2 linked regions of the Saccharomyces cerevisiae S288C genome follow. Changing the gene in region 1 together with any one later gene gives a genetic interaction. Each region holds a gene or a part of one and is shown on either strand. Other genes may lie near its edges. The genes, in order: MEF1 and KAP120.

Region 1 (7,218 bases):
TGTTTTGCATAACGGCCGTGATAAAATTCAATTTCACATTCATTTTGCAGACGTAGCACACATAACCACGAAATCTCCCGCCTATCCAATGATGCATCAAGTGAGAAATCAAGTATTTATGCTGGATACTAAGAGATTAGGTACCCCAGAATCTGTCAAACCCGCAAACGCATCACATGCCATTCGTTTGGGCAATGGCGTGGCTTGCGATCCCAGTGAGATAGAGCCTATCCTAATGGAAATCCATAATATCCTCAAAGTGGACTCGAACTCAAGTTCATCTTAGAGCGAATAAAATGTCACCGGCGCTACTATCCCTTAGGAGATTGTAACCCCTCTCCTGAATTAATTCAAAATAAAATTGAAAACTGTATAAGTATATACATAAATATATCCATACACACTAAAAAGACATATTCATACTGCCTTGAGGATAGAGAACACCATTGAGCATGACTGACTTAACTACACAAGAAGCTATTGTTCTAGAGCGACCTGGTAAAATCACCCTAACTAATGTCAGCATCCCAAAGATTTCAGATCCTAACGAAGTAATCATCCAGATCAAGGCGACAGGAATATGCGGGTCAGATATCCATTACTATACCCATGGAAGAATAGCCAATTACGTGGTAGAATCACCAATGGTGCTGGGACATGAATCATCAGGAATAGTGGCCCTCATAGGTGAGAACGTCAAGACACTTAAAGTAGGAGATAGGGTGGCACTTGAGCCCGGAATACCTGACAGGTTTTCACCGGAGATGAAAGAGGGCAGATACAACCTGGACCCCAATTTAAAATTTGCTGCGACACCTCCCTTTGATGGGACCTTGACAAAGTATTATAAGACCATGAAAGATTTCGTCTATAAACTTCCTGATGATGTGTCATTCGAGGAAGGAGCACTAATAGAGCCATTATCAGTGGCAATCCATGCTAATAAATTAGCAAAGATCAAGTTTGGAGCCCGTTGCGTCGTCTTTGGAGCTGGGCCCATAGGTTTGCTAGCCGGGAAAGTAGCCAGTGTCTTTGGTGCTGCAGATGTTGTTTTTGTAGATCTATTAGAAAACAAGCTGGAAACGGCTAGGCAGTTTGGTGCCACCCACATCGTCAACTCAGGTGATCTCCCACATGGCGTTACTGTAGATAGTGTTATAAAAAAAGCAATCGGCAAGAAAGGTGCTGACGTTGTGTTTGAATGTTCTGGTGCAGAGCCTTGCGTTCGAGCAGGCATCGAAGTCTGTAAGGCAGGTGGAACGATCGTTCAAGTTGGAATGGGACAAGAGGAAATACAATTTCCCATCTCGATCATTCCAACAAAAGAACTGACATTCCAAGGCTGTTTCCGATACTGTCAAGGTGATTATAGTGACTCCATCGAGCTAGTCTCTAGCAGAAAACTCTCGCTTAAACCATTCATTACACATCGCTATAGCTTTAAGGATGCTGTCGAGGCATTCGAAGAAACAAGCCACCACCCGTTAAATAATATCAAGACGATCATTGAGGGCCCGGAATGAAGGAAAGAAAATGTAACTTTTGGCATCCAAGATGCACAATACATTTGATTTTTTTTATATGTCTTTTATATATATATATATTAATATGATAACTTTGCATTATTATTGTGGGGATGGAACTTCACAAGCGGCCGAAATTTCCAAGATGAAAATATCTAAAAAACGAGATTTAATAAAGGAGATTGAAACGGAAGAAGGTAGAAAGCACTGCAATATATCACCAATATGAGTGTCCAGAAAATGATGTGGGTGCCTCGAAAAATGGTTGGAGGTAGAATACCCTTTTTCACATGTTCAAAAGTTTTTTCAGGTTTCTCGAGAAGGTCTTTTCATGAGAGTCCACTTGCTCGTTCTACATATGAAGAAGAAAAAGTTTTGGTGGATGAAATCAAACAAAAACTTACTCCAGACGATATTGGAAGATGTAATAAATTGCGTAACATAGGTATATCTGCTCATATTGACTCCGGAAAAACTACTTTCACTGAACGTGTTCTGTACTATACAAAAAGAATCAAAGCCATTCATGAGGTTCGTGGTAGGGATAATGTTGGAGCCAAGATGGATTCTATGGATCTTGAAAGGGAAAAGGGTATTACTATTCAGTCTGCCGCTACTTACTGCTCTTGGGATAAAGAGGGCAAAAACTATCATTTCAACTTGATCGACACTCCAGGTCATATTGATTTCACTATCGAAGTGGAGCGTGCTCTTAGAGTACTAGACGGTGCAGTTCTTGTTGTTTGTGCTGTTTCAGGTGTTCAATCCCAAACTGTGACCGTGGATCGTCAAATGCGTAGATATAATGTTCCAAGAGTAACTTTCATCAACAAAATGGATCGTATGGGTTCAGATCCCTTCCGTGCAATAGAACAACTTAATTCGAAACTAAAAATACCTGCTGCTGCTGTACAAATTCCTATCGGATCGGAATCAAGCTTATCTGGTGTCGTTGATTTGATTAATAGAGTTGCTATTTACAACAAGGGTGATAATGGTGAAATTATAGAAAAAGGGCCAGTGCCTGAAAATTTGAAGCCATTAATGGAGGAAAAAAGACAACTTTTGATCGAAACACTTGCTGATGTGGATGATGAAATGGCAGAAATGTTTTTGGAAGAAAAGGAGCCTACCACGCAACAAATTAAAGATGCTATTCGCAGATCTACAATTGCTAGGTCTTTTACACCAGTTTTGATGGGATCCGCACTGGCAAATACTGGTATTCAGCCCGTTTTGGACGCTATTGTAGACTACTTACCTAATCCCTCTGAAGTGTTGAATACAGCTCTAGATGTGAGCAACAACGAAGCCAAGGTTAACTTAGTTCCTGCGGTGCAACAGCCATTTGTTGGATTGGCATTCAAATTGGAAGAAGGCAAATATGGTCAATTGACTTATGTTCGCGTATATCAGGGGCGTTTAAGAAAAGGTAATTACATTACAAATGTAAAGACTGGTAAAAAAGTGAAGGTTGCAAGATTGGTCAGGATGCATTCTAGTGAGATGGAAGATGTTGATGAAGTTGGCTCAGGTGAAATTTGCGCTACTTTTGGTATTGACTGTGCTTCTGGAGATACATTCACTGATGGTAGCGTTCAATACTCTATGTCATCCATGTATGTTCCAGATGCTGTTGTCTCGTTATCGATTACGCCAAATTCAAAGGACGCATCGAATTTTTCGAAGGCTTTGAACAGATTTCAAAAGGAAGACCCTACATTCAGAGTGAAGTTCGATCCTGAATCTAAAGAAACAATTATTTCTGGGATGGGTGAATTGCATCTGGAGATTTACGTTGAAAGAATGAGACGTGAATATAATGTGGACTGTGTCACGGGTAAACCGCAGGTTTCCTATAGAGAATCTATCACCATCCCGGCAGATTTTGATTATACACATAAAAAACAATCTGGTGGCGCTGGTCAATATGGTAGAGTTATCGGTACCTTATCTCCCGTGGATGACATTACCAAAGGCAACATATTCGAGACCGCTATTGTTGGTGGCCGTATACCGGACAAGTATTTGGCTGCATGTGGTAAGGGTTTTGAAGAAGTATGTGAAAAGGGACCATTGATCGGTCATCGTGTTTTGGATGTTAAAATGCTAATCAATGATGGTGCTATTCATGCCGTGGATTCTAATGAATTATCATTCAAAACAGCTACTATGTCAGCCTTCCGTGACGCCTTCCTGAGGGCACAGCCGGTGATCATGGAACCTATCATGAATGTTTCAGTAACATCGCCAAACGAGTTTCAAGGTAACGTCATCGGTTTATTGAATAAATTACAAGCAGTAATACAGGATACCGAAAATGGTCATGATGAATTTACATTAAAAGCAGAATGTGCCTTGAGCACGATGTTCGGTTTCGCCACCTCATTAAGAGCCTCGACTCAAGGTAAAGGTGAGTTTTCATTAGAGTTTAGTCATTACGCTCCAACAGCGCCCCATGTTCAAAAAGAATTGATATCTGAGTTCCAAAAGAAGCAAGCGAAGAAATAGTCAAGTCCTCATGGGCAAAACAGTCTTGTAAATAACAAATTCCAATAAAAAGGAATTAACAAAAGGCAGGAAATAAAATTAATATACACACTAATTAAGTAAATTTAAATAAAAAGATCTTTCTGTAAATACACGAATGAAAAGAAATTTTGAAGAATATCATTATCTAGGAGGTATAAGTATCATCCGTCTTAATTTTATCCAAAAGATCCTCTATCTTAGGGCCCATCAAGGGCTGGCCTGTCCTTGTTCTTTGAGTCAATTTCTTCTTTCTATCTTCTCTCCTCTGAAATTTTTCCTTCGAAACTCTGATTCTTTCCAATTGCTCGTTTCTTTGCTTGTTTAATTCATCTTTTTGCATTCTCTTTCTTTGTTTCTTGATCTCCTTCTTCTCGTCTAGTTTCTTCTTTCCCTCTATTGCCCTGGCTTCCTTAATCTTCCTTACAGATTCTTTTGCCACGGTTTTTGGTTCCTTTTCTGGTACGGCATACCCTTCATCTTTTAAAGCTTTAAGGTATTCCTTTCTCAGTCTAGTTTTCTTTGTAATACTTCTTTGGATCTCCTTAACCTTATACTCCCTCGTAAACTTCTTTCTATTTTGATTTTGCTTGGCTGTACCCATATTGATTTTGCTCAGTTGCTTACTTGACCACCTTCCTGTATCATTCTTGTGAAAGCACTTTTAATACTATCGCGATGAGGTTTGATTTTGAAATTTTTCATTGTTTGAAGGAAAAGTAACTTTTCGGGCCAATAGAGAAATAAAAATAAAAAATCATGTAGTGTAAGTTAAAGTGGGATTTCTAGGTGACGCTAACGCAGCCTCGATACCCAGGAAAGAGGCCGCAATAGTGTACAAAGCTTCGAATTTAAGTGATTAAGGGTGTTGGAGTATACTGAAACACGCTTTTTGGCCATTATGAAAAGGTGTGCTCCTGCCGTATTAAGAAATTATAATTATAAGAAGGGTATATGGAGTACCGGCGTACCTGATCATATAAGGAAGCTGCTTCGAGATAAATCGACGTCACCATTATGCTCACAGGATGAGAGAAACCTGGTCTCATATTTTATGGCGCGCGGAAGTGTTCCTCTAAAGTCGGTTGGCAGTGGATTAACAAAGAAAGCAACAACATCAATAACAAGTAATTCAGCTACCACAACATTTGAACGACAGTACCTTATAAAGTATCTTTATCGGCACCAGGCCTATGGGAACGTTATAAAAATTGCACAGAAGTTTCTTTATACCACTATTGGTTCACAAAGATTGTTAAAACAGGATGCCTCATTACCTGAATTGAAAAAGTTCCTTCTCTCTTTATTGATTTTACAAAGAGGTATTCAATTAGATCAGGCAATCTCTGATATCATACAACGGTTTCTATTAACACAAAAGACAATGGTGATAGACCTCATTAACTCGATTTTCTCTAGGATGGTTATAATGAATATGCATGAAGAAGCTGTATATAAATGGGTCAAATGGATGAAACTAGTGAATGGACATTGTGAATTTACGAATTATATGGAGAACAAGATAGTTTTGAGAAACTTTTTATCATTCATGAGGCAATCAAATGTTCGCCCCGATTATTTATCTTATTTGAAAGCAATTCAGCTAACGCAAGGGCCCGCAATAGCGTCTCAATTTGCAACTACGTTGTTGTTCTTATTAACTTATATTAGGAAATTTTCTTCTGCAGAAGCAGTTTGGAATTACAAGTGCGAACATAACCTGCCGATAGTGAGTTCTGACCTGACGTGTATTCTAAAGACGTATTGTCACATGCAGAAGTTTAATTTGGTTTCGTCAACATATTGGAAATACCCTGATGCTCAGCACGACCAAAACCAATTTGATTATCTTTTGGTGGCTCATTCTAGGCTGCATAATTGGGACGCCTTACAACAACAGTTCAATGCTCTTTTCGGTATCGGTAAGCTACCTTCCATACAACATTATGGTATTTTGATGTATACTATGGCCAGAATTGGTGAATTGGATAGTGTCAATAAACTATATACACAGTTATTGAGGAGAGGTATGATACCGACATACGCTGTTTTACAATCTTTACTATATGCACATTATAAAGTCGGAGATTTCGCAGCCTGTTTTAGCCACTTCGAACTATTCAAGAAATACGACATAACGCCTTCAACAGCAACGCATACCATAATGCTTAAAGTGTATCGTGGTTTAAATGACCTTGATGGTGCGTTTAGGATATTAAAAAGACTAAGCGAGGATCCTAGCGTGGAAATCACGGAGGGGCACTTTGCTTTATTGATACAAATGTGTTGCAAAACTACGAACCATTTAATCGCTCAAGAATTATTCAACCTTATGACTGAACATTATAATATCCAACACACTGGAAAAAGTATCTCTGCATTGATGGATGTATATATTGAGAGTAACAGGCCAACAGAGGCAATAGCATTATTTGAAAAACATTCAAAGAATTTATCTTGGAGAGATGGTCTAATTTCAGTGTATAACAAAGCCATCAAAGCTTATATTGGTTTACGAAATGCCAACAAGTGTGAAGAACTTTTCGACAAGATCACAACCTCAAAACTGGCTGTAAACAGTGAATTTTACAAGATGATGATAAAATTTTTAGTTACACTGAACGAAGATTGCGAAACGGCATTGAGCATCATAGATCAACTAATAAAACATTCTGTAATCAAGGTGGACGCTACACATTTTGAAATAATAATGGAGGCATATGACAAAGAGGGTTATCGTGACGGTATAATTAACTTGTACAAGACAATGTCACAGAATAAGGTACCAGCGAATTCCAAAATTTTATATTATATATTGAAGGCCGTTGCCAAAAAAAGCCTACAAAATAATGAGGAAATCAAGGAAACGATTAATATGGTAGAAGACATCATGGAAAATGCTGCCAATGGAACTCTCGACGTTACGTATAACAAACTGCATCCCTCGGTCATGGCATGGCCAATGAGAATGATTGTGAAACATGATAGCCCACAGCGGGCTTTAGAGTTATACAACCGGTACAATGAGCTTTTCTTCAAAAAGCATGATTGGATATCAAATAATAATAAATTTGTGATGATGAGATCATTGTTGGTATTACTAGCTCAAATTGAACAATGGAAAGATTTCGAAACACTTTTCGCTAAATACATGGATCGTATTGAA
Region 2 (18,280 bases), on another chromosome or scaffold:
TCACGGTAAACTAACAGCACTGAAGGCAGGGACCAGTTGTACTTCCTCAGCGGCCCGGAACTTCTTTGGATCCTAGATTTTACCACGTCAAATGGTGTATTCAACAAGCACCCGACAGTGCCACCAATAGCACCTGCGATCAAATCATTTCTGGTCTTTTCCGTGCTTGTTTTAGCCGCCGGCAAAAGCTTCCGAATTTGGAATATTATACCGAAATAACCGGCATTCCAAAGAACGTGTCTCCAGATAGTGGCTTCCAACCCATTGAAAAGTGACAAAACACCACCTTTCACAACACTATTCTTTACAACTTCAATGGGTGTCTTGAACTGTGAATTCACATCCTGTAATCTAATCTTCACTAGTTCAAAAGGCGCGACGACAAAGGCTTCCACGGCGCCAGCGGACGCACCACTGTATATGGCGATTTTTTGAGTCATCTCCCCATTGGGCGTGGGGAAAATCTTTTTATAAAACGTTTGGAATGTATCGTTTCCGGAGAACTTAATTGCTCTTTTCGGAGCCTCCATTAATATAGGCGATGTGATACCCTTGTAAAGATGCGAAAATCCTTCCTTCTTCACAATTTTTGTAAGACAATCCATCACGCCCGTGTAGTGATCTACTGCTGCTTTCGCTGCAACAACAGCGGGATGACCTTTGGTTGTCACTTGTAATTGCATTCTTGTCTTCACCACGTCCAATGGATACATCACCAATAGCTCCGAGACGCCGGCAATGGCACCGGCTGTGAACTGGTATATGAACGGCAAAGGTCTATTATCTATAGATGTCATCTTACAGTTCTTTTTCTTTCACCCTCGTTACAGTTCTATCTTGAGAATAAATGAGATAAAGGTTCCCAAAAGTCACTGATATATATCAACGGCGGTCACCCTCACAGAAATACCCGAGAATCTGCCCTTCGCCAAATCAGATTCAGCCAGTTCGCAGTTTTTTTCCCTATCTCTGGTCGCCGCATTATGAAAAGATCCTGGGGTAATAATGGGAATGATTTGAAAAAAAACAAATGCTGGTAGAAAAAGGTCTTCGTATTGCTCGTAGTAATACGGCTATTTCAAGTAACTGCTCGGGCCAGCGGCTTGAGGAAAAAGTAAACCCGTTACTTTGCTTTTTAATGACGCTGGAAATACCAATTACCTACTATGTATTACTTATGCTTATGACAAAGGGATGAAATTCCCGACGATGCAAATTGGGATGTTGTACCTATCCCTTCTGATAGTGAAACTAAAACAGCATGGCCGTTTGCGGATTCCATCTTTGGTTCGAAGACTACAACTTGTTAAAACAGCCTTCTGACCCTTATCAAACGCTATGGACCCGTATTTTTCCCAGAAATTCACAGCGCTTTCTTCTGTCATCAACTCGTAGATCGCAAGCTTTCCATCGCGTAAATCATCGACTGTGCAGTCAACCAGTGAAGCAAACTCTTTATTGGCTCTGTAAATCTCACCGGTACGCCTACACAAGCACGCTGGCATGCTCATAGAGGTGAAAACACGATCATAAGATAATAACATCCTCTCGAAGCTCTCCTCCACTAAAACTAAGTCAACATCCTTCAATGAACGCGCAATGGTTCTAAACGCCGGTCTAATGGTGGATAGTGGTTTCAGAATCCTTTGCTTGGAAGACTGATTCATATATTTGTCCATGTAGTCTTGTAGTCTTGCATACCCCTTGGCATAATTATACGGCTTCAATAATCCTGCTTCAAGCTTCGCATTTATGACCAACTTCAGCCGGTGTTCTGGTGTCATCTCTGTTGACGGATCCGCCGCTGTTAAAAAGAATTGTTCCTTCGGTGTCGGTGCACTGTTTTCGTTTGCATTCGCTAGAATTCGAGACTCTTCCTTTTCTTGATCTTGTTTATCCCCTTTCGAGATACTATTGGAAGAACCTGACATAATAGTAGGCGACCTATTTTCTTGTCTTGCCACTCCTATTTCATCCCTACGATTGTCGTTTTGGTACTCTAATGGCGATTGTGTGGTTTGTGAGCCATTTTCCAAATGAACATTGCTCGCACTGCTGGAACTTAGTGATGTTTGAGTCAATAGAGGATTTTCTAGCATAGAAAGAAATTCATTCAAAGAACTGAATTCCGAACCAACATTCTCGGACACAAATACAGGTTGTTGCGGAAGCAGCAAGCTGGTTGTATCATTTACAAGAGAGGAGTCTAGTTTCGGTGACAGTTCCTCTCCATATGTGGATCCACTTTTATTGACTGGTTCATTCTGATAGTCAGACGGAATTCCAGTGTGTGCTTTATTTGCATATTTGCCCTGTATATTATTATCATTCGGAGAACTTTCGTGCTGTGATGGCATCTCATTTGGAACCGCAATATCATCTTCCCTGCATAAATGGGCAATATCCCTCTTGACGCACCTAGAACATGGACGTTGCTTATCACATACAACATGTGACCGTTTACAAAATAAACATGTTTTAAAAGCCTTACTGGCTCGTTTTACACCACTGTTTGCTGACATTATTTCGTCAGTTTATATAAATATGTGTATTTTGTGTTGATTAAAATTAAAAAAAACTTTATCTCACTGGCAAAGAACTCCCGCAAATTTTCTCATAAGAATTACTTTCTTCTTCCATCCCAGAGACCTCATCCTTTTTTCTAATATTCAACTATTTTTCATTTTCCTTCGTACTCTTTGTTTTGCTTTTTCTTGTTTTCTGCCATTCCAAAACATTATTCTCCCCATCTAAGGAGCGGATCTGTAGGAAAAACAGCGTAACCATTGGAAAACCCTTTCCCTAACCAATGCCCTTTGACGGATGAAACATGATATATCTTTTAAGGACATAGATACTAACCAATACAAATCAAAGAACAGTGAAGAGTCTAAAGGGGCAGCGAACGCTTAAGTATCTTCTTTAAAGTAATAATATTCCTGTCGCAGGTGAAATAGCACTTCAGCGCACAAACAAATAATATTGCAGCCAAAATTCCCTAATATTGTCATGATAAGAATATGTCCCATTGTTAGATCTAAGGTTCCACTGTTAGGAACTTTTCTTAGATCCGACTCATGGTTGGCACCTCATGCGCTAGCTCTAAGGCGGGCCATATGCAAAAACGTTGCATTGAGAAGTTATTCAGTGAACAGCGAACAACCAAAACATACATTTGATATTTCAAAACTTACTAGAAATGAAATCCAGCAATTGCGAGAGTTGAAAAGAGCAAGGGAGAGAAAATTTAAAGATCGTACGGTTGCATTTTATTTCAGCAGCGTCGCGGTACTTTTCTTGGGTTTGGCATATGCAGCGGTACCACTCTATAGAGCCATTTGTGCTCGTACTGGTTTTGGTGGGATTCCCATAACAGATAGAAGAAAATTTACCGACGATAAACTCATTCCTGTAGATACTGAGAAGAGAATTCGTATCTCATTCACCAGTGAAGTATCACAAATTTTACCGTGGAAATTCGTTCCTCAACAACGTGAGGTTTACGTTCTGCCTGGTGAAACAGCCCTCGCTTTTTATAAAGCCAAGAATTACAGCGATAAAGATATTATTGGTATGGCTACTTATAGCATAGCGCCTGGTGAAGCAGCTCAATACTTTAATAAAATCCAATGTTTTTGCTTTGAAGAACAAAAGCTAGCTGCCGGTGAAGAAATAGATATGCCTGTCTTCTTTTTTATCGATCCAGATTTTGCTAGCGATCCAGCGATGCGAAATATCGATGATATTATTTTACATTACACATTCTTCAGAGCTCATTATGGTGATGGTACAGCTGTAAGTGACTCTAAAAAGGAGCCTGAGATGAATGCAGATGAAAAAGCAGCGTCATTGGCTAATGCTGCTATTTTATCCCCAGAAGTTATAGACACAAGGAAAGACAACTCAAATTAATTGTAAATACAAAGTCATTCAATGTACATAAATACTGTTATGCTTTTGAATTAAGTAAAACACCATGACTTCATATTGAGATGTTTTAAGCATATAATCACGGCACCGAACTTCTTGTAATCATCAAATCTTTGTTTTCTAGCCGTCATAGAAATGAAGAAATGAAGATTCTTGTTCATGTGATACAGCTTTTCTAGACAGCTAACTTGTACATCCAGACATCCTAAAACACCCATAAAGCAAAAAAAATTATTGAAATATTCTCTTTTTTTTCTTTTTTTTTTTTCTGGTGGCTTTCAATGCGGAATCGCTCACATCCGAAAATTTCAGAGGCTTCACTTAGCGTCGCAGATCCCAGTAGTCGCCAGATGCTTTGAAAAAAAAAAAAATAAATAGAAAAGTTTGTAGACATATCCGATGTAGTATATTTCAGAGGCCAACCTTTACTTTTGTTTTCTCCTACACTTCAAAATAAAAGACACCGTCACAAATCTCAGCAACAATGGCTTTCCAAAAAGACGCTAAGTCCTCTGCTTACTCCTCTCGTTTCCAAACTCCTTTCAGAAGAAGAAGAGAAGGTAAGACTGATTACTACCAAAGAAAGAGATTGGTCACCCAACACAAGGCCAAGTACAACACTCCAAAGTACAGATTGGTTGTTAGATTCACTAACAAGGATATCATCTGTCAAATCATCTCTTCTACCATCACTGGTGATGTCGTCTTAGCTGCTGCCTACTCCCACGAATTGCCAAGATACGGTATTACCCACGGTTTGACCAACTGGGCTGCTGCTTACGCTACTGGTTTGTTGATCGCCAGAAGAACCTTGCAAAAGTTGGGTTTGGACGAAACTTACAAGGGTGTTGAAGAAGTTGAAGGTGAATACGAATTGACCGAAGCTGTTGAAGATGGTCCACGTCCATTCAAGGTCTTCTTGGATATTGGTTTGCAAAGAACCACCACTGGTGCCAGAGTTTTCGGTGCTCTAAAGGGTGCTTCTGACGGTGGTTTGTACGTTCCTCACTCCGAAAACAGATTCCCAGGTTGGGACTTCGAAACCGAAGAAATTGACCCAGAATTATTGAGATCTTACATCTTTGGTGGCCACGTTTCCCAATACATGGAAGAATTAGCTGACGATGATGAAGAAAGATTCTCTGAATTATTCAAGGGTTACCTAGCTGACGACATTGATGCTGACTCTTTGGAAGACATCTACACTTCTGCTCACGAAGCTATCAGAGCTGACCCAGCTTTCAAGCCAACTGAAAAGAAATTCACCAAGGAACAATACGCTGCTGAATCCAAGAAGTACAGACAAACCAAATTGTCCAAGGAAGAAAGAGCTGCTCGTGTTGCTGCCAAGATCGCTGCTTTGGCTGGTCAACAATAAATTATGGATATATAACGTCATTTTGAGATATTTTAAATAAAGCTATCTTCACATAACCTTTGTATTCATTTTTAGTTAACTCATTTACATCATCCACTTACTACATTTGTATTTTTTTTACGATTTGCGTACCGCCTCATTACTACCCTTTTTTTGCACTGCAGTAATAGTACACTCAAATCATGATGAAAAGAGAAAAGAAAAAAATGCCACAAAAAGTAGTTGATTTTATAAAAGTTATCATCCAATTTTAGGTAATTTTATTCTCTTTATGTAACGAACATATGAAGATTTCTTCTCTAGAATGGCATTCTAACTAAGTCCGTGCCATAAAATCATCACTAACAAATATAAGATCACGCTATACTATCAATGAAGAAACAAATATTAATAGTTGCTGCACAAAGTATTTTATGTTCTACTGTTTTTGGCGAGCGAAGTAATGTAGGCCTTTCCACTGAAGAGCTAGGAGGTGACTCAATTTTATACTTCAATGAAGACCCTATAGTGATTGAAATCGATAAGAAAGCTATTGACAAGAAGACTTTGGAACAGTTGGCAAGCACAAGAGATGTTGTTCTTACTGATTTACCGGACACTCTTGAGTTTATAGACTTCAACGAGTACGCGAAAATGAAGTCAAAATCAGATATGCTACTAGAGTATATCAACGAATACGAATTTGATGATTTTGAAAGAAGTTCTGAAGGCGGTCTTGAAGAAGAAGAAGAAGAGGATTTAATTTATGACTTCAATGCCCAAGCTGAAGATTTGGGTAAGCTTGGTTCAAATATATATGAAGTAGTCGAAGAAAAGAATATTGTTAATACTTACGATGGAAACCTTATCAATGCAAGTACAACTGAATCAACGACTACTATTCGGCCTTTCGTGACTTCTCACTCCTACGTTGCTTCTTCTACACCTTATTCGAATATTTCATCATTGAATGAGGACTACGATAATGCGAGCAACTTTTTGACTCCTACAACAGTGGCTCTTGCGGTACTTTTAACCATTTTATTATTTATACAGGCGTATTAATAGATCATTATTTTATTTAAATAAGAAATATTGTTGGCTAGCTTTCCTGTTTTATTTACTGTCACTTTTTAAAATCACTCAAGACGAGAAAGCTCTTTAGCAAAGTACTGACAAAAAACTTGAAGTTTGAACTTGTTACAGTATTACACGTCAAGGCTGTAGTGCGGTGAAAAAAAAAGAATATACCGTAATTTTTCTCCTTCGTGACCTCGGAGCTGACTGATATTAGATAACTAATCATGGTAGCTGTATGTTCGTTAATCTCTTTTAGCCACCCACCCATATGCTTTTTGTTTTGTTAGCTAAAATAATACTAACTTACGACTCTATTCTCATCATTAAATAACCAACAGACAGTAAAAAGAACCATCCGTATAAAAACCCAACAACACATTCTGCCAGAAGTGCCACCAGTAGAGAATTTTCCTGTTCGTCAATGGAGTATAGAAATTGTATTATTGGATGATGAAGGAAAAGAAATTCCCGCTACAATTTTTGACAAAGTTATTTACCACTTGCACCCAACTTTCGCCAATCCTAACAGGACATTTACTGACCCACCATTTAGAATTGAGGAACAAGGTTGGGGTGGATTTCCTTTAGATATAAGCGTTTTCTTGTTGGAAAAAGCAGGTGAGCGGAAAATACCACACGATTTGAACTTTCTACAAGAGAGTTATGAAGTGGAGCACGTTATCCAGATTCCTCTCAATAAACCACTTTTAACAGAAGAACTTGCGAAAAGTGGATCTACTGAAGAAACGACGGCCAATACAGGCACCATTGGGAAAAGAAGGACTACCACGAACACAACTGCAGAACCAAAGGCGAAGAGAGCTAAGACGGGCAGTGCATCTACCGTGAAAGGGAGCGTGGACCTAGAAAAATTAGCGTTCGGATTGACTAAACTAAATGAAGATGACCTGGTTGGTGTTGTTCAAATGGTTACCGACAATAAAACACCAGAAATGAACGTGACGAATAATGTTGAAGAGGGTGAATTTATAATTGACTTGTATAGTTTACCTGAGGGATTATTGAAAAGTCTATGGGACTACGTTAAGAAAAATACCGAGTAATAAAAGGTAAAAGGGCGTTAAATGCGCGCTTTTATGTTTGTATAAATAAAACACGTTGATATTTTGTCTTATATAAACTTTATTCCAATAACCGCGACACCTTACCAAACACATATTATTACAACACATTTTTATCTTGGATTTTAAGTAATTATACAACAGTTTTCATTTTAGAAAATGAGAACATCAAATATATACATTCCAATGTAATAGAAAATGGAAAAGAAAAAAGAATAAAAAGAAAAACACGAGGGGACCAGGTTGCTAGAAGATAGGGTGACCACGTCAAAAGAATATACCTAGGGAACCAAACAATGCGAAGTTAACAACCCATCAAAGTATTTTTAATAGTGAGTGGTTCAATAGAAAATTAGAAGTCTGTTCATTTAAGCGCGCTACATCCCATCTTCTAAATGAGGATCAAAACCTGTATTGTCCGATGTACTATTGCCAAAAAGTCCGTTAGATGGCATATTATCACTATTTTGCCCATGTGAATCCTCTTGATGAGTTTGAGTGTCTTCAGTAGCAGATGCAGCTGATGAAGGATGCTGAGATAAATTTTGTTCCATAATAGTTGACGAATTTGGAGATTGAGAGAATTTTTTCTTTGCCTTGTAGATTTTCTCCAAGTTACCGGTCACTTTTATCAAATAGTCAGGCAATGGTTTGCCACTCTTCAAGTATTGTAATTTCCAATTACGGGCTTTATCTTTCAGTTGTACCTGCGTCCTGTTCTTCAAATTTTCCGTGATTTTACCACCGGGACCATATAAATCTAGAATCTTAGACCACGATGGGCCAACCTCTTTCAGGCCTTCCACTAATGCTTCTTCTTCCTCTTTGGACCAAGTTCTTTTCGCCTTTGGTTTTCTTAATCCGATACTACCATTATTGTTGCTGTTACTGCTGTTGTTATGAGAGGAATGAGGACCAGAGCTGCTGTTGCTCATCGAGGCCGCAACAGCGGCATCCACAATGGATTGTGTGATAGCGGGGTTTTTGGAAGACACATCTGTGGTAGGTGTATGTGTGCTGTAATGATTCGGACGAGCAGTTGACAAAAAAGCAGACGCACTGCTTGGCTGATTTTGGTCGTCCATGAATTCTACGGTCCTGGTCCCTGTAGAAAAGAGTACTTGAGGATCAAACTCGTTGACATCAAAGTCATATAATGGTGATTTTCCGCGACCCTTTCTGCCCCATATGATGAGACCCATATTTTTATTACAATAATCCAGCAACTCTCTGATAAATTGAGCCCATTCGTAGCTCTGGGTCAGAGAGTTAAAATCTTGGACGATCTTTAAATTTTCTCTCCGACGATCGCACCTTTCGACGAAGTCCTTCTCCGATGGAGTCAAAAGTGTAATGTCTCCAGAATCGCCGGTTCTTCTCTGCACGAGAATATCAGCCAGATTGGATGGGAAGATTAAGTCTAGTAGCTCTTGTTTCTTTTCTAAAGAAATTTCGTTCGTCTCGTCCTGAAACTCTTTCAAGCCGGCAATGTAAGCCTGTGTTTTCAGATCAAGATATAGGATAGCCTGCGATTTCAAAAACTTTCCGCTTTGTTCCAGGGAGTTGTTACCGACAGTGTTTGTATTTGGACAGAAAATATCGAGAAATATCGACTGTAGCAGCTCAAACCCGTAATTAAGGCAGTTCAGCGACGTCAATAGAAATGTTAGCAGATTCGCCTTTCTTATGGCAGTAATAATAAACGCTTCGTGGCCTCTCAATATAAGGGGGGGAGGGGAGTTGGGAAACCATAAACCAGGCGCCACGTCGTGAACAGACAGTAACGGAGATCTGGTGTGGTAAATCATTCTGATCTGCTTAAAGAGCTTGACTAACGTTTGAAAAATTTCTGTTTCGCCTGAGCTTAGGAAAGCCGTCTGGTCCGTCAAAACCGCTATAATATTGGGAGAGTTGGCATTAAGGATAAGAAACCTCAGTAGTTGAGTGGAGATATTGTCCAGCAGACATAATGAGCATATGGTCAACCTAGTTCTTGCAGGCAGGCTTTGGATGATGTCATTGAAGCGGTTTAAGCTTTCGTTATTATTGGGCACTTGCGAATCCATGACAAATGGGGAAAGAAGTGAGTAAAGAAAAACTAATGTAAAATGATTTCTGTCGCAGATGGGACAGCCACAATCTTAAATGTTGGCAAGGATATAGGAGCAAAACGCCAATATTGAGATGATTGTTTATTATAATGTTTACAAGGAAGGGCAAAGCATTGAGGAAAATTAGTCGGAATGAGGTCTCGCCGGGCTTCTACGGAAAGGGGCGAAAATTAATAGGGCACGGTGCAGAATATTAGGGCTTCAAATGTTCAGATTTTAAAGCCTTTTCTTCAAATACAATAATTAATTTTACACACTGTACCTTGCATATATAAGAGAAGAGAAATTTATAAACAGTATAGTTAGTTAGTTAAGAATGGAATTTGAATAAAATCATAAAGGAGATATTTACCGAATAAGTAACAAATAGAGAAGGGAGAGATTAAAAAATGAAAATTTACAGTACCGCCAACAAACACTTGAATAAGATTGAAAATTAGAGAGAAAAAAATTTAGAAATAATACAAAATACTAATAGTGATGGGACACAAAAATGAAGAAAGAAAATAGGTTTGATAGTATTGCTATCACCATTGACATTCTCGTTTGGATATTCACTTTTTACGTGGAGAGTTTGACCTTCTTCTTGTTTAGTTTAATAATGCCGGAGGGGCCCTTTGGTTGCACTAACTCGCCGTTTTCAACACATTTCTTGATAGCGCTATTGAACAGATAGTCAAAATTTGAGCTTGTTTTCAACTTGGAGGAGAAAGTGTCCTTGACATACTTCTTTAAAACGATACGGCTGGAGCCCTTACCGTCATTAAGTTGAGGCATGCTTTTAAGGATCATTTCCTTGTAGGTCAATGAAGAAGGCGAAGAGGCCTTCTTGGCGGTAACAGTAGGCGATTTTTTTTTCACTACTTTCTTTGGCGCTAGCTTCGTGGATGCGGCTTTCGCTTTTGATGCGGTTGCACTCACAGAAGTGGCGGCTTGCTTGGGTTTTGGACTGACCTCTTTTTCTTTCTTTACTTCTGGAGATTTCTTCTTGGCCAGTTTCACAGCACCAGCGGGTCCCTTTGGCTGTTCAAAATCGCCGGCCTCCACACCCTTCTTTATGGCATTGTTGAAGTACAAATCAAAGTTGCTTGCGGATCCGACGATCGGGTAGTTTTCCTTGATAAACTTCTTGAGTGCCGGACGACTGGATCCCTTACGTTCCTTCAAAGCCGTGAGCCCTTCAATGATCAACTCCCTGTAACTCTTGGAGGAAGCTTCCTCCTTTTTTGCCGTGGTTTTCTTGATAGCGGCCTTGGAAGTTGATTTCTCCTTGCCTTTGCTGGTTGCAGGCTTCTTGCCCTTACTTGTGGTCTTGGTAGTGGATTTCTTGGGTGCCATGTTGCTTTAGTTGTATTATAATTGCTTCCCTCGCTGCCAAGCATTATCAGGTGCCCATAAATAACAACTCCCCAAATCTATAGTTGCTCCTCCTCTTTAAATAAAGGCAGATAAACAAAAAACTTTGACCGCCCGCTTTTCCACACAAAAAACAAACAACAGCAGAAAACGCGACGCGAAAATGAAAAGCCAAAGAGAACAAACAAAAATCATCCATCAAACCTGTTATTGTGCAGAATAGCTTTTACCTAGACGCAAGTCCCTAGGAGGGGGCATTTTTGACACAGAATAGCATTTCATCAAAGCAAACAGCAACTTCTTGGAGATTTGTATTGCTTGGCATGTCAAAATCTAGCGGTCACATCAGTAGGGTAACAAAATAGCACGTCAGGGTTAAGGCGGCCTACTGCTTAGGGTACGTGGTAAGTGATGTAAAATGTGAGAAGGAGAAACTAGAAAAAAATTTTCCTTTCTTTTTCCTAGCGATGAGATGAGATGAAATTTTTCGAACAAATGATTTTTGGCACAGTTTACATATCAGTTATATTGGCTGTCGTCACAGGAACTACAAGTACAAACCAGAACCATTTTAGCTGATCACCAGAATGACGCAATCCCTAGGTATCGAACAGTATAAACTGTCAGTCGTATCTGGTGGGAAACCCGCTTTGAATAATCTCAGTTCAGTAACCGGCAATAAGAATATCGCCCGCCTATCACAAGACCAACGAAACTATATTATACCCTTTAACAATCAGATCAAGGTGTATTCTGTGGAAACTAGACAATGTGTTAAGACTCTAAAGTTTGCAAATAACTCCTTGTTATCCGGAATATTTCTGCAAGAAGAAGAGAATAATGAATCGATTGTAAAGATTCTGCTGGGTGATATAACCGTTCCGCAACAAGAAGACGCTCATCTGATTACCGTATTCACCAATAATGGTCATGTAATTGTTTTAAATTATAAGGGGAAGCTGGTCGAGTCCCCTAAGCATTTCAAAATCTCTTTGGCAGATGAAAAGCTTGCAAATGTTTTCCATAGCGAGGGCAACTATAGAATTTTGACAACGTTCAAGGACCCTAGTCAAAAGGCACATAACTCTTTGCAATCGTACAGGTTATATGCATTAACCTTTGACGATGCTAAAAAGCAATTTGAAGTGGCTCATCAGGCAGAATGGCACAACGTTATCTTGTCAAATATTTCTTCCAATGGTAAACTGCTAGCGCATATGTGCAAAGACGTCTCAACAAAAGATCACGAACACAAATCCATCTCAGTTGTTTCGCTTTTTGATGATTCTGTAAATTTAAGCTTTCCCCTCGGTTCCATCCTTTCTTCACAGACTCAATCCCTATCCTATAACACAAGGTACGTTTCTAGCATGGCCATAGACAATATGGGTCAACAACTGGCTGTTGGATTTGCCTCCGGAGTTATAAGTATCGTAAGCCTGGCCGATCTACAAATAAGACTGCTCAAATGGCATATAGACTCTGTGCTGTCACTCTCATTCTCTCACGATGGATCCTATTTGCTATCTGGTGGTTGGGAAAAAGTTATGAGTTTATGGCAATTGGAAACAAACTCTCAACAATTCCTGCCTCGTTTGAACGGTATTATAATCGACTGTCAGGTATTGGGACCTCAAGGGAACTACTACTCTTTAATCCTACAAATGACTGAAAACAATTCAAATTCTGACTACCAATTTTTACTTTTGAATGCTTCTGATTTGACCTCCAAATTGTCGATTAACGGGCCATTACCGGTGTTCAATAGCACCATAAAACACATTCAGCAACCAATCTCGGCCATGAATACCAAGAACTCCAACTCAATTACCTCTCTCAATCACTCTAAGAAGAAACAATCTAGAAAACTAATTAAATCGAGAAGACAAGATTTCACCACTAATGTAGAAATAAACCCTATTAACAAGAACTTGTATTTCCCACACATTTCTGCTGTTCAAATTTTTGACTTCTATAAAAATGAGCAAGTTAACTATCAGTATTTAACATCAGGTGTCAACAATTCTATGGGTAAAGTTAGATTTGAACTGAATTTACAAGACCCAATAATAACTGATTTGAAGTTCACCAAAGATGGGCAATGGATGATTACATACGAAATTGAGTATCCGCCAAATGACCTCTTATCTTCCAAGGACTTAACTCATATCTTGAAATTTTGGACCAAAAACGATAATGAGACAAATTGGAATTTGAAAACGAAAGTAATAAATCCACACGGGATAAGTGTCCCAATTACCAAGATATTGCCTTCACCAAGATCAGTTAATAATAGTCAAGGCTGTTTAACGGCTGACAACAACGGTGGACTGAAATTTTGGTCCTTCGACTCTCATGAGAGCAACTGGTGCTTGAAAAAAATTTCTTTACCAAACTTTAATCATTTCAGTAACTCCGTTTCTTTAGCTTGGTCTCAAGACGGGTCTCTAATATTCCATGGTTTCGATGACAAGTTGCAAATTTTAGATTTCGACACTTTTAAAAAGTTTGAATCATTGGAAAATACAAAGACGGTCAGTGAGTTCACGTTAGACTCTGAAATCCAAACCGTCAAGTTGATTAATGACACAAATTTAATAGTGGCCACCAGGACTACATTAAACGCCATCAACTTATTGCGGGGTCAAGTCATAAATAGTTTTGACTTATATCCGTTTGTTAACGGAGTGTATAAAAATGGTCACATGGATAGGCTTATTACTTGTGACGAAAGGACAGGCAACATTGCCCTGGTTATAAATCAACAACTAACTGATCTCGATGGCGTACCAACTATCAATTACAAATCCCGTATTATTATATTCGATTCTGACTTATCTACAAAATTGGGTAATTTTACGCATCATGAATACATATCTTGGATTGGTTGGAATTATGATACTGATTTCATATTTTTGGACATAGAATCAACACTAGGTGTTGTCGGAACCACTGTGAATACTCAACTATCTGATGAAGTTAATAACGAAGGAATATTGGATGGCCTGGTAAGTAACACCATCACAACTTCGGCATCCAATAGCGATATTTTTGCAGAACAATTGCATAAACTGTCGTCTAGGGGCAAAAAAAGTGACACTAGAGATAAAAATACCAATGATAACGACGAAGATGAAGAAGATATCGCTTTGGAATTTATAAATGGCGAAAAGAAAGATAAGCTAGTCAATATGAATAGTTTTACGAGCATGTTTGACAACATTCAAAACGTGCAAATGGATACATTTTTTGATCGTGTGATGAAAGTATTAACATAGCTTTAGGGTTCTTCCATTGGATATCCAAAATAGATATAAAGGTATATATATATATATATATATATATATGTTTATAAAGCAAACCGAAAGCAAAAATATCTGTATAACTTAGTTACAAGGGAAGGGAAGAGAATGCATTGGTTAATAGGAACAGACACTTCGTAAAAAGCTTCACAATCATTAATGTTAATAGAACTATCATAATATACAAAAAATCTCTTCATACGATTTTTGTTTGATGAGCATCCTCAGTCAAGATGAATAAAATAATCTCTCCAAATAAGCCGCCTCTTTTTTTTTGAATTACACTTCTATAGCGTACATTTCCATGTAAGAAGATTGAAGTTTCAAACAATTGGGTAGCTTAATATTTGTCAAACTTCTTGGTAGGTGTTGTGTTTAAGAAAAAGGAGGCACCATAAACTATTAACTTTTTAGCTTGCCTCAACTGTCAACCGAATCAAATTTTAAAAGGCGTTAAACAAAAATGGCCTCGTCTCTTAACGAGTTAAACTTGGTTCAAGTACTTGAACAAGCAAGTAACCCACAACATATTAGGTCAGATGTTCAAAAATTAGCCGAACAACAACTAAGACAATGGGAGACTCAAGCGGGATTTCATTACTTATTACAGTCAATCTACCTTAATTTATCTAATTCTTTACAAATTAGATGGTTGGCGGTAATTCAATTTAAGAACGGCGTGGATAAATACTGGAGATCCACTAGAATTAACGCTATACCTAAAGATGAAAAAGCCTCGATAAGAGGTCGTCTTTTTGAAATGATCGATGAACAGAATAATCAACTTTGTATTCAGAATGCCCAAGCTTCCGCAAGGATTGCAAGGCTAGATTTTCCCGTAGAGTGGCCAACCTTATTTGAGGATCTAGAAAACCTATTGAACGATGAGATCATCAGAAAAGATTCAGTTAAGATTTACAATATATTGATGCATATAAATCAAATCGTTAAAGTATTAGGTACTGCGAGAATAGGAAGGTGCCGACCCGCTATGCAAAGTAAAGTTCCTTTGATATTACCACTAATTGTCAGGATTTATTTACAATCATTTGAAGAATGGACGACATCCTCCAATCTCAACTACGAGGATCTTTCCAGTTTACAAGTTTCTTACCTAGCTTTGAAAGTGCTCAGAAGGATAATTTGTGAAGGATACGACCGCCCTCAAACCGATCAGTCTGTTTGCGATTTTATTAAACTATCCGTTTCACACTTTGAGATGTTAATTTCAAACCATGAAAACTTCAAAAAGTTTGATATTTACGAAAAGTTTATCAAATGCCTAGGAAAGTTATATTTCAATTTAGTCACTGGCTCTCCGGCTAATTTCATATTACTGCCATGCTCTACGCAAATTCTAATCACTTATACTAGGCTAATTTTCGATAAGGCCCCTAAAGTATATAGAGAGAATTCTGATGTCACGGGGGACTTTTGGGAACAGACTGCTATTAGAGGGCTTTTAATTTTGAAAAGGGTCATTAATTTCATTCACAAAAAGGGGGCAATTACGTTAAAAGCAAGAAGTGATAAACTAACCATAGATGCTTCTATCAACAAAATCAACACAGAATTTCTGAATGAGAATTTGATAACAAGGTTGGTTGACACTTTAATGGAATGGTACTTGAGGTTAAGACCAACTGAATTAGAAAATTGGTTTATGGATCCAGAAGAATGGATAAACGAACAAATGGCCACGAGTTACGAATATCAAATCAGACCATGTGCAGAGAACGTTTTTCAAGACTTAATGAATACTTTCTCTGAGCTGTTGGTTCCCTACCTGTTAAAGAAAATTGAAAATGATGCTTCAAAGCTATCAAACTCATTAGACGATTTTTTAAGGAAAGACGCAATTTATGCAAGTTTCCAATTAAGTGCATCCGCTGTTAGTGAAATGGTAGATTTTGACAGGTTACTAATTCAGGTTTTTTTACCAGAAGCTACAAATACAAACATATCAGGCGACGAATTAAGGATTATCAGAAGAAGAGTTGCTTTAATTATAAACGAATGGTCTACTGTGAAGTGTTCGGAAGAATCTAAAAGTTTATGTTACAAGTTATTTACAAACTTCCTGACAGATGAAGACGACAAAGTTGTTTTGTTAACCACAGTCCAGACTGTCAGAACCATGGTTGATGACTGGAACTTCAACAAGGATACTTTTCAGCCATTTTTAACTGAAAATGTTCATTTATTGTTGAGGAAAATTTTACCATCTGTGTCGTTAACCGAGACAAGGCTATATGTTTTAAACACCTTGAGCGATATCATAATTCAAACAAAACCTTTAATTAGCAGGGATCTATTAGTCGAAATTTTGCAAATCATACCAAACCTTTGGGAAATAGCAACAAATAATGCTAGTGAGGCTATTTTGGCAAACGCATTGTTAAGGTTATTGAGAAATTTGGTATCATCTTTGGGATCACAGTCACATTTAACGTGGGATATCGCCATACCTGTGGTTGCATTAGCCTGTGATCCCTCTTCTATGCAATATCAGTTGTTAAGCGAAGACGGGTATGAACTATGGGGCATGCTTCTTCAAAATTTTTCATCCCACGATCAAGAGTTTGACGATAAGTTCGTTGAATTGGTGCCATTTCTAAAGTATGGTATTGAGACACACACAGAGATTCTCCCAACTTTACTTGAAATTATCAAAAGTTATGCTCTGATTCTGAATCCTGTGGATTTTTTCTCTAACAACACATTTCAAGATATTTTTAAACAAATGTCTAAATATCTTTTAAAGTTAAGGGAAGATTCATTTCAGTTGGTTTTAGAAATCTGGGAAATTTTGATATTATCCAATGAGTCGGATTACGAAAATCTGTTATTGCAAAAATTCTATGAAACCGGAGTATTATCAGCATTATTCGATGCCATTTTCCTGGAAGAAGCTCCTTCATCTTATTTATGCTCGCAAATCATTCAAATCATCGCTAGAATATCCTACGTGAATCCAGACGCCTTAATGACTTTTTTAGCTACATATCATGACAATCTACCAACTTCTAACGAAAATGCACGCATGCCGGAATCAATAAGAAAAATTGTGTCTAAGGATCAGACGTATGATTCCGTTGTAAACAAGCTTTTAACCGGATGGATAGTATGTTTTAGAGATATCTTTGATCCTAAATTCAAAAAAGTTCACATATTAGGTATTTCAAGTTTACTAAGGACTGGTTTAGTTCCTATTTTGACTGAGTTTTCATCCATCGCATCTTTATGGATCGAAATGCTCGAAGAAATTAATGAAACTAATCGTGGGGATTGCGAAAAATACCACTTGAATGATATTGTTACAGAGCAATCAATTGCATTCCATCCTTTAACTGCCGAACAATTAAGATATCATCAATTATGCAAAAACAATGATCCAGTGCATAACATTAGTTTAAAAGATTTTATTTCCCAATCAATGGAATATCTAGAATCACATTTAGGAGTAGAAAGGTACCAAGAATTTTTGAAGACTATTAACCCTAGTTTACTAGAGAACTTACAAATGTTTTTATCCATCCAGCCTCAAGAGGCTCGTCCATGATAGTAATAAGTACTAAATAAAAGTAAAAAATTGTATATAGTTCGACTAACAACATTACAGTGGTATCTTTTGATCGCGCATTCTATACTTTTATTTTGCTACTAATTAGATGTCGCAGTTTTTTTTGTTTGCTTTTTGCGTAATACAAAAACAAACGCGAAAAGTGTTCATGTAATATAATGAAGTAAACCAAGTCTCACGGAATAAAATCACCTTCTTCCAATTTTGTAAAAGTTTAACCAAAGATCCAAAGTGGCTTGTAGGAATAATGGATTATAGTAACTTTGGAAACAGTGCCAGTAAAAAGTTTCAAGACGATACTCTAAACAGAGTAAGAAAAGAGCATGAAGAAGCCTTAAAAAAGTTGCGAGAAGAGAACTTCAGTTCAAACACGTCAGAATTGGGAAACAAGAAGCACTATAGAGCACAGGAAAGGATGAGTTCGCCATTACATAGATTGTCTCCCACAGGTAAATCAGACGATAGGAAAGTGAAGAGCC

Evidence for each region.
Region 2: mutations in MEF1 (region 1) and KAP120 together harm fitness less than expected from each alone (positive genetic interaction), as found in Saccharomyces cerevisiae (one large-scale study listed by BioGRID).

What each region holds. Positions count from the first base shown.
Region 1 is NC_001144.5:268,446-275,663, reverse strand, and holds MEF1 (Mef1p), read left to right. Parts: upstream 1-1,748; coding exon 1,749-4,034; downstream 4,035-7,218. Other genes in the region: RGR1 (Rgr1p), read left to right, coding at 1-286; D-xylulose reductase XYL2, read left to right, coding at 453-1,523; FYV7 (Fyv7p), read right to left, coding at 4,201-4,656; PET309 (Pet309p), read left to right, coding at 4,954-7,218. UniProt on the Saccharomyces cerevisiae protein: Mitochondrial GTPase that catalyzes the GTP-dependent ribosomal translocation step during translation elongation.
Region 2 is NC_001148.4:298,707-316,986, forward strand, and holds KAP120 (karyopherin KAP120), read left to right. Parts: upstream 1-14,681; coding exon 14,682-17,780; downstream 17,781-18,280. Other genes in the region: ODC1 (mitochondrial 2-oxodicarboxylate carrier), read right to left, coding at 1-797; gluconeogenesis transcription factor RDS2, read right to left, coding at 1,182-2,522; COX11 (Cox11p), read left to right, coding at 3,010-3,912; 60S ribosomal protein uL18 RPL5, read left to right, coding at 4,415-5,308; SPO19 (Spo19p), read left to right, coding at 5,681-6,352; TATA-binding protein-associated factor TAF14, read left to right, coding at 6,592-6,600, 6,706-7,431; TBF1 (Tbf1p), read right to left, coding at 7,827-9,515; HHO1 (histone H1), read right to left, coding at 10,122-10,898; NAN1 (Nan1p), read left to right, coding at 11,504-14,194; SPC29 (Spc29p), read left to right, coding at 18,049-18,280. UniProt on the Saccharomyces cerevisiae protein: Functions in nuclear protein import as nuclear transport receptor. Serves as receptor for nuclear localization signals (NLS) in cargo substrates.